Notamacropus eugenii: one gene and its partners. The protein of the gene in region 3 interacts with the protein of the main gene of each other region in a pairwise test. Links are inferred from orthologs where the notes say so. Each region holds a gene or a part of one and is shown on either strand. Other genes may lie near its edges.

Region 1 (3,749 bases), on a different chromosome or scaffold from region 3:
TGCAAATAAGGTTGGAATGGATGCAAGGCCTTTCAAGCTGTGTATTCTGTCTGACAGTGGCACTAATAATTCCCTCTGGGAATCCCAGATCCCTCAGTGAGTTCTGGAGGGTTCAAACGCGCTGCTATAAACAGAACCAAGCGGCTGGGGAAGCTCAAAGTCTGTTCCCTTCCCCGCCCCCGCCCCCCCGAAAGTTTTTGGCTCAGGGTCGGGGTGGGTCTTCCCTAGGATCCTAGCAAGAGCAAAGCCCAAGGTGGGTGAACTTTTCCAGTTCGGAGAGTGCATACCCGCGGCGAGCTCCGGGTTAGGTTCTTGGGTTTGGGACCCTGAGCTGGAGTCAGGCCTCCACTCCCAGCTCAACCACTTAGGGGTTGCTGCTTCTCATCTTCCCACGTCCCTGGGTAAAAGCTAAAAGCAAGTATCTGTCTTTCCTACCTAGAGAACTATACCTGGAATCAAGGTGTTACAGGGTGAGCTACAGGGAAAAGTGGACTAGTCAGGCCCCAGTCTGGGCTGAAGGGAGAGAGGTTTAGGTGAGTCTGATGGTGGCCCAGCAGAGGCATCTCTGTCTGGGACCCAGGCACCCCAAGAGCAGGAGGGAAGGGAGAACCAATTTTGGAGGGCCAGGCTGAACAGAGCTGCACAGAGCAGGGGACAAGAGCTAGGTCCAGGACTCACCCAGAGTGCCCACTGGGCGCTCCCCGTACCTGAGCATGCGGTCCACTTCGGCCCTCTGCTCCACAGCCTCTTCGGTGTTGAGGGCCTGTAACTCCTTAAGGATGGGAGGGGTGTCATAGTCGTCTCCGTCCTCCGACCCCTCGTCCCCTGACAGGCGACCCTTGGCATGTCCATTTGTAAGGGTGTGAAAGACCGGCTTGGTGTCAGACTCAGCCCCGCTCCCTGGGGACAGCGGCAAAGTCTCCAGCTTCACCCCGAAAGTCGGGGCTGGCAGCAGTTCCTCTAGAGCCTGGGCCAGCACTTCCTTGGTGACCCCGGAGCTCAGCAGAGCGCTCAGGAGTTCTTGCTGGAGAGACGTGAGCTTGGACACCATTTTCCACCGACTGGAGAAGAGGGGGGTTCGGGGTGGGTGGGGAGGGGGTGGTGTGAGAGAGGAGGGCGGAGGGGAGCTTCACGAGCAAACCCCAAGTCTGGGAGCCCCCCCGAAGCCTCCGCACACCTGTTACTCCCCGGTCCCGGAGTCTCCTCCGAGAGGAGTCAGCAAACTTCTAACTTTCCATGATCGCCTCCATTAGCCAATATAAGATATGCAAATCAGTGGGAAGGGACGGGCATTTCGGCCAGATGCAAATGGAGTTGGGGAGGGGGAAAGTCGGGGAGAGGGAGAGAGCGAGAGAGGCTCATGGAAAAAGACAGAGCTCCCGGCTGGAGAGCTGGGTCTGCTCAAGCCCATGGTGTTTACACTGAGGGCCGGGGACCTTCTTTATTGGTTCTGTTTATCAGCCAAACTTTAGCTGAACTTTGGACTTGTTAAGCAAGACGTCCGCAGCCAAGTGCGCCTGCTGGGAGAACCCTTCCACCCAGCGGTTCACCGGGCCCCAGCCCAGGGCCCTACCGGGAGGAAGGGAGAAACTGACATCTCTTCGGGGGGAAGGTGAGAGAAGGATGCTGGGGGGACGGTGGTAGGGAAAGGGGGCGTCCTTTGCAGAGAGAAGTGATGAACAAGAGCCAACTCAACTTACCAACCCAACACGTGGCCTAAAAGAAGTCAAACCTTGGGCGCTGATGAGTGGGGATTGGAGGTGGGAGGACTCCTTCCTTGTGGGGATAGGGCTTTGGGGTGGGGGTGGGGAACTTACCTGCTACTAATTCAGATCCCATGTCAGGGCTTAGAGTCCTTTCTCCCCGACACTGTAAATGAGGGCCGACTCGAATTTCTAGAACTCCTAGGATCGAGCAAAGGGTGTGTATAGCTGAGGGTTGGAGGGAATGCTCCCAGGACACTGAGACGGAGACCACAACAGACTGCCCAAATTTAGACTGAGCTTAGAGCCCCGGGGACACTAAATGGAGGGAGCAAAGGGAGGTAATAGTGTCTAGTTTCTAAATAATAGCAACAATAATAAACAACAAATAAATGAAGGAATGGATGGATGGACAGAGGCCAGAGCTGGGGAGTAAGGTTCAGACAATACCAACAGATCTCTGGCCAAGTGCCCCCTAACAAACTAGGATAAGGCAGCCGAAGCCCATCAGATCCAAATTGCTTTCTCTCTTATGCCTCTCTGCATTTGGTTCCCTGGGATCCCTATTTTCCAGGCCATTTTCCCATAGCTCTCTGGAGCAGAGTTAAAATTTCCCTTCAGTTTCTGTTGACCTCTTATCTCATTCCTAACTCCCAAGAGATGTATTTTGTCCACTCCCCCAGGAGAACTACACTCCACAAGGCCTTGGGTCAAACAATCTTGTAAGGACCCATATGGATGAAAGATCCAGGATGGAGAAACTTTCCCTTTGAAACAGCTCAAAAAGAAAAGTAGGTGACTTGATTCATCCCCACAAGATTTCCAGTCTCAACTACCCTCAGGTGAGGAAGAGGAGGAAGAATGCAAAGACTTTAGAGCAAAAGGAAAGACAGAAGCAACAAGGACTTGTCATCCTGGACTTGGTCTCTGGAGGACACAAAGTCATTACTTAGTCTGAATCAAGGAGTTACCTGGGCCTAAATAAAGGTTCACAGGAGCCAGATCCCCAGTAGCCAGGAGACAGGAAACTCCTCCCGTTTCAGGGACCTTTCTGCCTTGGCCTTGACCAATGGGGGGAATTTGGGGACACTACCCTATCTGTACTTTATCTCTGTCCTTAAATCACACCGTATTTATGTTTTAGCAGACTTTATTGATAACTTTTGCAGCCCCTAGATTTCTCCCTATATCCCTCCCCTATTCTGTCCCAAGGAGCCATGCCTTAGAACAAATGACTTTTTTTAAAAGAATAAGGAAAAAGGAAAAAGAAGAGGGAAAATCAGTTAATCAGTACATGGAACAAATATGACATACACAATTCTCCATAACCGGAGACAGCCCATCTCTGCAAAGGAGTTGAAGGGGAGATATCTTCTCATAACCCATCTTTGGGATCAAGATTGTTCTTTATCATTCTGCAACATTCATTGTCATCATATTCATGCCCTAACATGCTCCTTGAGGGCAGGGGACTGGTTTGCATTTTTGTCTTTGAATTTCTAACCCTGTAATAAGTCTGGTACCTTGCACATAATTGGTATTTAAATTAAAGAATGAATGACAGGGTACCCTGGTTGGAAGTATCCCCTTCCTACTCTTATTATTATGTTAATATTTGCCCCATCACTACTTCTGGAGCTTTATTGATGCCAAATTCCTACTCAGACTTTTGGCAAGAAGAATGGCCAAATATCCTTCTGTTAACATTAGTGTTGAATTCTCATTAGGGTATCCAGGGAACCCAGTTCATGAGGTAAATACAGGTGCCTAGAAGATTGTATCATGCTGAGTTACATTACCTAGGCATCCATAGGCACACACATGTGGATGATGGGTAGTTGGCCCTTCAGGGTGGAATTCTGGGAGATTCCTAGGGATCTGATGATAGGCAGCAGGAGGGACTAGAGATGGGTGACATTGAAAGGAGAAAAAAAGGAAATTTTCAAAAGCTGTCCTTGAGTTTCCACTGGCCAAACCTCGTTCTCCAGGCCACTCCCACTGTCCTTGCCACCAGTGAGGCAGGGAAATGGTTGAAGAGAAATCCTG
Region 2 (3,749 bases), on a different chromosome or scaffold from region 3:
CAGAAAGAAATGTTGAACTGTAGTATTCATTTAAATATATATCAAAGCCCTTCTCAAGATCAATTTTATAATAGGGAAATTAAGTAGGGATCTGATTAATAGAGGTGAGATATTCCAAAACTTACCAGTGAAACGAGCACTGTACAAATAGAATCTAAATATAAATTCCTGACTTTGTCACTACCTGTGGTTGACTGACCTTGGATGAGTCATTTAACTTTTTTAAACTTTAGTTTGTCATATCTGTAAAATGGGAACATTGGTCTACATGATCACAAAGGTATTGCTCATGTTTAGAAATCTCTGAATCTTTTGTTTTTAATTCAGAGCATCCAAGAAGGCAATATTCTATCTACCTGTCACTTAGGTTTTTTTTAAAGCACAAAGTACTTATCAAAAGGAAAGGAAGATCATTGCTTAATCTAAAACTTCCTAGGATGAAACATAAGGGATATAATCAAGCTAATGAAAGAGTATGACACTTCATCTCAAGTGCCCTGATGTCTGGGTCTCAGTTAGGAGGATGTTCCAATTAGAGGGCCCCAAAATTGAAATGGGATGCCTCAGGTTATAGTGTATCCTCAATTTATGGAGGTTTTCAAATGAAGGCTTGAAGACTACTTGTTAAGAATACTGTAGGATAGATTCTTGCTCAGGAATGAGTCCTCTGATTTCCCTTCCAAATCCAAGAATCCATACTTTCACACTGGGACTTAAATAGATAATGCCCCCTCTCCTATCCTTAGGACACTAGACCAAGTTGATGATGGCCCTACTTCCCATCCCCAGTCCACTTCAATCCATAAACTACCACAGTCCCAATAGTCATTGGTCAGGGAATGTTTGGCCTCTTTTTATCCTCCATGGTCTATGACGCTTTATTATCTGCCCTGCCACTTTGCTTACTGAGTCCTAAGCACTTCCTGGCCTTATCATCTCCCATGAAGCTAAACTTCCTTGTGTGCTTTTCTCTGCTAATTGAAGTGTGAGTTTCTTCAAGTCAAGGTCTCTCTAGATTTTTAAATTTGTATTCTCAGCACTTAACATAATGGTTCCAATCTGATAAATGTTTAAGAAATGATTTTCCCATTAACAGTTACCTTCTGTTTGGAGAGGTTTGAAGCACCAGGGTACTTGAGGGATGCTGGAATCAAAGCAACACCCTCTGTTAATGCATTGTTCTGCAGTGACTTCAGGGTAGCCACAGTCTACTCTTTCTTTGGCTGGGACAGCACATTGATCAGGAGCTGATTCAAACAAAAAAAAAAATTAAGTTAAATTTCTTGGAAAGTATTTTCTTTTTCTTTGGGAAATTTGTATCCAACACCATTCTAACTTCAAATTATGATGACACATTTCTTTCATCAAACAGACTTTAAAAAAGAAGACTAGCTTGTTTTAACTATCTTCTTTCAATGTAAATGGCTAAAGAGAAACAAAATAAATCCTTAACGATAATGAGTGTTTATAAGTCAAGTATCAAAAGTGTGCCATAGAATAATCTTAAAAGTTTTTAGACAGAGCTGTTATTTATCCTCTTGTTTTTCTCATACAATGCATTAAAGAATATTAAAATGCTGTTTTGGATATTAATCTGCCCAGCAACCTATAACAATCTGAGTTGCTTTTTCACAGGCTTAACAAATGAAACTTTACACTGATGTGTTTTGCTGAGACATTTTTAGTCATTCCTTTATTATTTCACATTTTTTGACTATGCACATCTTCTCATCATCTAAATATTCAGTCTCCAAGCTTCTTTCACTAATAATATGCTAAAATGATTGATACATTATTTGTTAATATCATTTTCCCTGATTTCACTGATGGAAAGTTTTTTCAGAAGAAAAGTTTGTCATTTAAAAATGATTGTCTTTTAGATCCTCTTTTTCCTAGCCAACTTTTGAAATTAAGAACCACCTTAATTTTCTTGTTGTACTTAAAAAAAATAGCATGGCACCTTCCTGATTAACTTCCCTGTTTTGGTTTCCTAGCTGCTTTGTTCCTTGTAATTCCTCCCAATTCTATTCCTGTCCTCAGTGTACTGCAAGAAAATGAGAGAATATACTCACATAAGCCAACAAATCCACCAAGTGTACTGGAGAACCCTAACATCAGGATAAATGCCACGAAGTAGAGACCTTTGAGATCCATTGCAATCTGCAGATTTCTAAAGCCTGAAATCTTCAGAAATATGAATAAAAATCACATAAGAGCCTCATTTATACTCTTGGATTTACACAATATATCAGGATGTTTATCTTGGTGGGGTTTTCTTCTGTGTGTTCTAGCTCCACCTCTGTGAATCTGAAAAGACATCCAAAGCTATTATTTTCAGTAAGAATACATTGTACTAAATGAGCTGAAGAAGGAAATGGCAAACCATTCCAGTATCTTTGCCAAGAGACCCCAAATGGGGTCATAAAGAGTTGGACACAACTGAAAAATGACAGAAGAGCAAAAAAAGAAAAGAACAAGTAGTAAAAATAAAGTTTTGGTGAATATTCTGTAATGTTGAAAGAGGCTACTATTTGATGAATTGTTCAGTAAGTTAATTATTACCTTGAGGAAATCCATTTAGGTCATTTACAGTATCAAGTAGAAAGGAGAAAATGACTCATGGTATTAAGTCACAATAATTTTAGAGATGCTTTTTATGAGTCAAAATTGTGATCCTAGAAGTATTTTATTAGATATTGGATCATTATTTGTACGTTGATTTTAATAGTCTTCTGGATCCAAAATTCCATTAAGGTGATCGAGTGGAGGATACAATACTGAGTAACTGGTACCTCCTGCTGTTATTTGATATTGAGTGAGTATGTGATAACTGGGAAGACAGGATAAGGGTTTGCATCAATAGGGAGCAGGTGAATTTTTTTCCTAATAAATGTGGAATGCTAGTTAGTTGGAATTTCTTTCACATTTCTGCTCTGATTGGAAAATTTTTAATTTGTAATACTCAGTATACCTTCCCCTTATATTTCCTGTCAAATATTCTGTCTAGTACAAGTATCAAATACAGTACCCATTATTTCTATGACTTCTGAACTGGGTAGAGTATTCTCTGAATGACAATAAAAATTACTTTGTTTGAGACAGTGTTGTAGAGCAGAGTAGTGGCTAGCTGGGTAACTCAGCTCATTCTCTCCCTCTCCTTCTCTTCTCCAAAGGAAGGTAAATTTTGATGGTCAGAAGCTGCCCAGTTAACTTGGGGTTTACTGGCTAGTTTTCTTTTCTTCTTTCCTTCCTCCCTTCCTTTTTTTCTTTTTTTCTTTTTTTCTTTCTTTCTTCTTTCACAAAACCTTAAACCCAGTTCACTCTGAAGCCACAGATTGGACCACTATAGGTCCCTGCCCAAGCTCCACTCATTTTGGGGATCTCTTGGCTTAGAGAGAATGTCAATGGTAACTGTTTCTCTTTGGAACAGCAACCCTGAGGGTCTTCCCCTCCAACTTTGATTTTTTTTCCCTTTTTTCTAATTAAAGGAGCCATCCCTTGACTCACTTCTTAAAGAAGCCTATTCACTAATGGGTGTTACCTCACTCTAAGTAAGTACCTGAAAAGGACTTAACCTGAAAGGGCCAGGGTCTCCCATTGTATCCTGGACCTTCTCTAGTCATCCTGATGAATATCCGACCACTGGTCCCAGATGGCTCTGGAGGAGAAAGAGAGGCTGGTGACCTTGCTCAGCCCTCTCTCACTCAAATCAGTCAACTGCAACTCATGTCATCATTTCCCTGATGTCA
Region 3 (3,749 bases):
GCCTTCAAGTTCAGGGCTGCCATGTGGAAGAGCGACCTTGGGTTCTCAGGGCAGCCCCAGGAAGCAACAAGTGGAAAAAGAAAAGAAAGAGGCCAAGTAAGTGTTGACCAAGAAAAAAAATTGAGAGCTGTCCATGGTGGAGAGGCAGCTGTTGTTTTTCCTCTTTGAAGATTTTCAGCCAGAAGGCTGAAGGACCACCTGTTAGGTATGTTACAATAGAGGTTCCTTCAGGGTGTAGGTTATACAAGGTGACTCTGGGGACCCTCATGCCCCCAAGATTCTGTGGTTCAGAGTTCCAATTCCCATTCATTTGGGCCTGGGGAGTGTAATAGCACTATGCACCCCACCATACTCCCAACAGACTTAGCTCCAGTCATGGATCAATGGAAGAGAAATTTAAAATAGCTGATATCTGCAAAGCGTGTCACAGTTGATAGAACGTGTTCCAGCGTCCTGGCTCATTTGGTGCTCACAAGCCTACAAGGGTAAAAGGATGCAACACTCATGTTTCACATAGCTGGGGTACTTTCCTCACAACATCCCATGAGGAAGAGAGAGAAGTAGGATCATCCTGTTTTACAGATGAGAAAACTATAGTGCACAGGGGTTAAGTGACTTGTCCAGAGTCACACAGGTGTGAAGGATCTGGCTTGGAATTTAAATCCAAGGAGAAATGTAGTGTCCCTCACATGGTATCCTAGAAAGTACAATGAGCAGAATGTCAGAGGACCTGGGTTTTTAGTGGTAAAGAACCAAGCCGGTTTTCTGTGTGACTCTGGACATGCCCCCTTTCCTCTCTGGGACCCAGTTTTCTATTCTGTAAAAGAACAGAGTTGGTTGACATGATTTGAGGCCCCTCCTATCTTTAATGCTCTGGGATTCACTCTCTGAGAAAGAAAAGAGGCTGTAAATGCTGACTGAGCCTCCACTAGAAGAGAGCCCTCCTCTGTTAAACATTAACCCGAGAAAGGACAACAGGCCTGCTCTGATTTCCAGGCCTGGGCTCCCTTTTTCTTCCCTTTGACTTAGGGAGAGAAGGGGCTTTTCTGGAAGCTTTGATCAAGAAAGGAGGGGCTAAGGGGAGGGTCAGAGACAAGGAAACTCAGCGATCACTTTCCTGTTTAGAAACCAGGGCTGGTCCCTCAATGAGGGGTAGGAGAATGATAGACACTCAATTTTTTGATTGGAAAGAGTCTAGGTTTAAAACTAGAAACCCTGAAGAGCCTTGCCCCCTTCCCTGGCCAGGCCTTCTTCCCACCCCCAGTGTCCCTCCCCTCCCCTGAGAGCTGGCCCTGGCTGGCTAGAACAGGAGAGGAGCCAGACAGCTGCTGGCAGGGAGTGGATGTAAGCCCTTTGCCACACCCCCTGCTATCAGAGTGGTGAGGGAGCTTTGGCCTCGCTGGTTGAGACTACCTCTCTAACTCCCTCCTGTTTCAGCTGTGGTCCTCCGGGGGATTCTCTCCTGCACCCACTCCTGACATGGTAAGGACCCCATGCTGGGGAAGGGCAAGAGCATTGGGAAGCAGCTGTCCAAGATACCGGATTGACTGAGACAGGGCAGAGACATTGAGGGCTGCCTCCTCTAGGCAGCACAGTCCTGTCCCTCAGTTAATCAACAGCTTGCTTCCTTCCTGCAGGCAGCTCCAGGAATGGGAGGGGGAGGGGGAGAAGTTGGGCAAGCAGGGTTCCTGAAAGGAAAGTCTCTCCACCTGGTGCCAGGCAGGAACCACGGTGTGTCCAGAGGTGACAGAGACCCTCCATAGGCCAGCTGGGAAGTGGAGAAAGCTGAGGTCCAAGGGGAATGAGAGCAAAGCATTCCACCAAGATGACCTCCGAGACTTTCCCGCCCTGAATCCATGTTCCCTCGATCACACTGAATTGCCCTTTGACAGGCAGGTGAATGGGGATTTGTTAAATGACCAAAAGATACAGAGTGGTGCGGACAACCCAGAATAAGGAAGACAAAGTGTTCAAATTTGAGTTCTCCTACTTAATATTTGTATGACCTTAAATATCTCAACTTGTGTCTGGGTCTGTTTCCTCATCTGTAAAATGAGATCCCTTTAACCTCCCAATCTTCCATCCCAAAGAATATATTTGAGGAGGTGGAGGAAAGCAGTAGACATTGACCTCCCAAAGGCAGGGGTTTCTAAGGGAGGATCAGTACCTCTGTAAACCTGGGGGAAATGTGCAGCCATTGGTGCAGGAAAAGGCATCTGTGAGATGTTTGCCTGAATGGCTTTTCGATGAACTAGCCTCACTGGTGTGGGATGGTGTTTCCATACTGGGGGTGGTCTCACCCTCACCCATACCAAGTTCTAGTTCAAAATGGGTGGGGGAGGAGGAGAGGCAGGAATGGATCTAAGAAGCCAGAGAGAGGTCCATACCTGCAGAAGGGGCTAGCCTGGCAAATAGGCATTTGCTTGCTCAGTCTGAGCCAAAAAGTCGAATCAGAACTTTAGAGCTGAAATGAACCTTAGACATAATTTAGCAAAGCCTTAAAATGGGGGAAGGGATGGGGATAGATGGAGAGAGTATAGTCCATACTGAGTAAGAGTCTGTGTCTAATTGGGAGATCTGGGGGAGGGGAAGAAGGATCTGACAGAGTGGGCGGGTGGGGGGTGGGGAGGGTGGTTATTTTTCCTCCAGCCTTTCACAGGCCAGGATACTGGACTAGGTTAATCTCCCTCTGAATCTCTACAAATGTCATCACTTCTCAACCCTTGGACCTGAAGGTCAGAAAGGTATTCATGTTGGGTGGGCATCTGGTGGGAGAGAGACAGAAGAGGAGGAGAGACATTTCAGAATTTCTGAAGAGATCACACCCCTTCCAGGGCCATCCCTGAGCCCTGTTTCCCCAGCCCCCACACCCTCCCTCAACACACCAGACAGCAGATATTAAGGCTCAGTCTGAAGTCTGGTTGCCAAGATACTTGGATGGAGCTTATCAGCCAGTCTGAAAGGGCAGGGGTGATGGTTTCTAGACCTGTGTTTACTCTGAATGTTTCCTCCCACCATGGTGTTCCACCATCTCAGCAGCTATCCAATAGGAAAAAGAGGAGAGGAGGGGAGAGAAGGATAATTCAATTCAACAAACATTTACTGATCACCAGCTATGTGCAAGGCACTGTGGGGGATACAGAGAATGACAAGGCATAAGCCCTGTTGTGATGTTTACAGTCTAGTGGAGATGGTATGACTTGTGTCTATTCAAATCCTACAAGGTTCATCTCAAGCCTTGTCTCCCTGAGGAAGTCTTCCTTGATAACTCCAGTCATCACTGATCACTCCTCTCCCTAAAGAATCTCCCTCTCCCCTCTCCCCACTGTCTATAGGATACATCTAGATATTTTACCCCATTTAACACTATTCTTCAGTGTATTCATTGATCTTCTGTTTCCTGTGTCCAATTACATTATAAGCTACTTGAGGACTGGGACGGTTTCTTTTATTCTTTCTTTGTCTCCCACATGGTAACAGTAACTGGGAATCCACAAGGTGCCTGAAAAGAATGCCAGACTTGGAGTCAGAGTACCTGGCTCTGATACTCATTTTGTCACTCAGTTGTTTCAGTCATGTCCAACTCATCGTGACCTCATTTTGGGGTTTTCTTGGCAGAGATACCACAATAATTTGCCATTTCCTTCTCCAGCTAATTTTACAGATGAGGAACCTAAGGCAAACAGGGTTAAGTGACTTGCCCAGGGTAGGTGTTATTATAATCCCCATTTTATAGTTGAACAAAACTG

What was found.
Region 1: the proteins of PCBD1 (region 3) and HNF1B interact in binary tests that used the Homo sapiens proteins (3 or more experiments, as listed by UniProt). The link is inferred for Notamacropus eugenii from reciprocal best matches to the Homo sapiens genes PCBD1 and HNF1B.
Region 2: the proteins of PCBD1 (region 3) and TFF3 interact in binary tests that used the Homo sapiens proteins (3 or more experiments, as listed by UniProt). The two-hybrid records come from large-scale screens. The link is inferred for Notamacropus eugenii from reciprocal best matches to the Homo sapiens genes PCBD1 and TFF3.

Annotation. Positions count from the first base shown.
Region 1 is NC_092873.1:307,004,710-307,008,458, forward strand, and holds the start of HNF1B (hepatocyte nuclear factor 1-beta), read right to left. Parts: upstream 2,390-3,749; 5' UTR 1,818-2,389; intron 1,613-1,817; exon of another isoform or gene 1,340-1,612; intron 1,229-1,339; exon of another isoform or gene 1,062-1,228; 5' UTR 1,052-1,061; coding exon 708-1,051; intron 1-707. UniProt on the Homo sapiens protein: Transcription factor that binds to the inverted palindrome 5'-GTTAATNATTAAC-3'. Binds to the FPC element in the cAMP regulatory unit of the PLAU gene. Transcriptional activity is increased by coactivator PCBD1.
Region 2 is NC_092876.1:416,710,377-416,714,125, reverse strand, and holds the start of TFF3 (trefoil factor 3), read right to left. Parts: upstream 2,242-3,749; 5' UTR 2,155-2,241; coding exon 2,073-2,154; intron 1,248-2,072; coding exon 1,101-1,247; intron 1-1,100. UniProt on the Homo sapiens protein: Involved in the maintenance and repair of the intestinal mucosa. Promotes the mobility of epithelial cells in healing processes (motogen).
Region 3 is NC_092872.1:239,935,160-239,938,908, forward strand, and holds the start of PCBD1 (pterin-4-alpha-carbinolamine dehydratase), read left to right. Parts: upstream 1-1,319; 5' UTR 1,320-1,479; coding exon 1,480-1,482; intron 1,483-3,749. UniProt on the Homo sapiens protein: Involved in tetrahydrobiopterin biosynthesis. Seems to both prevent the formation of 7-pterins and accelerate the formation of quinonoid-BH2. Coactivator for HNF1A-dependent transcription.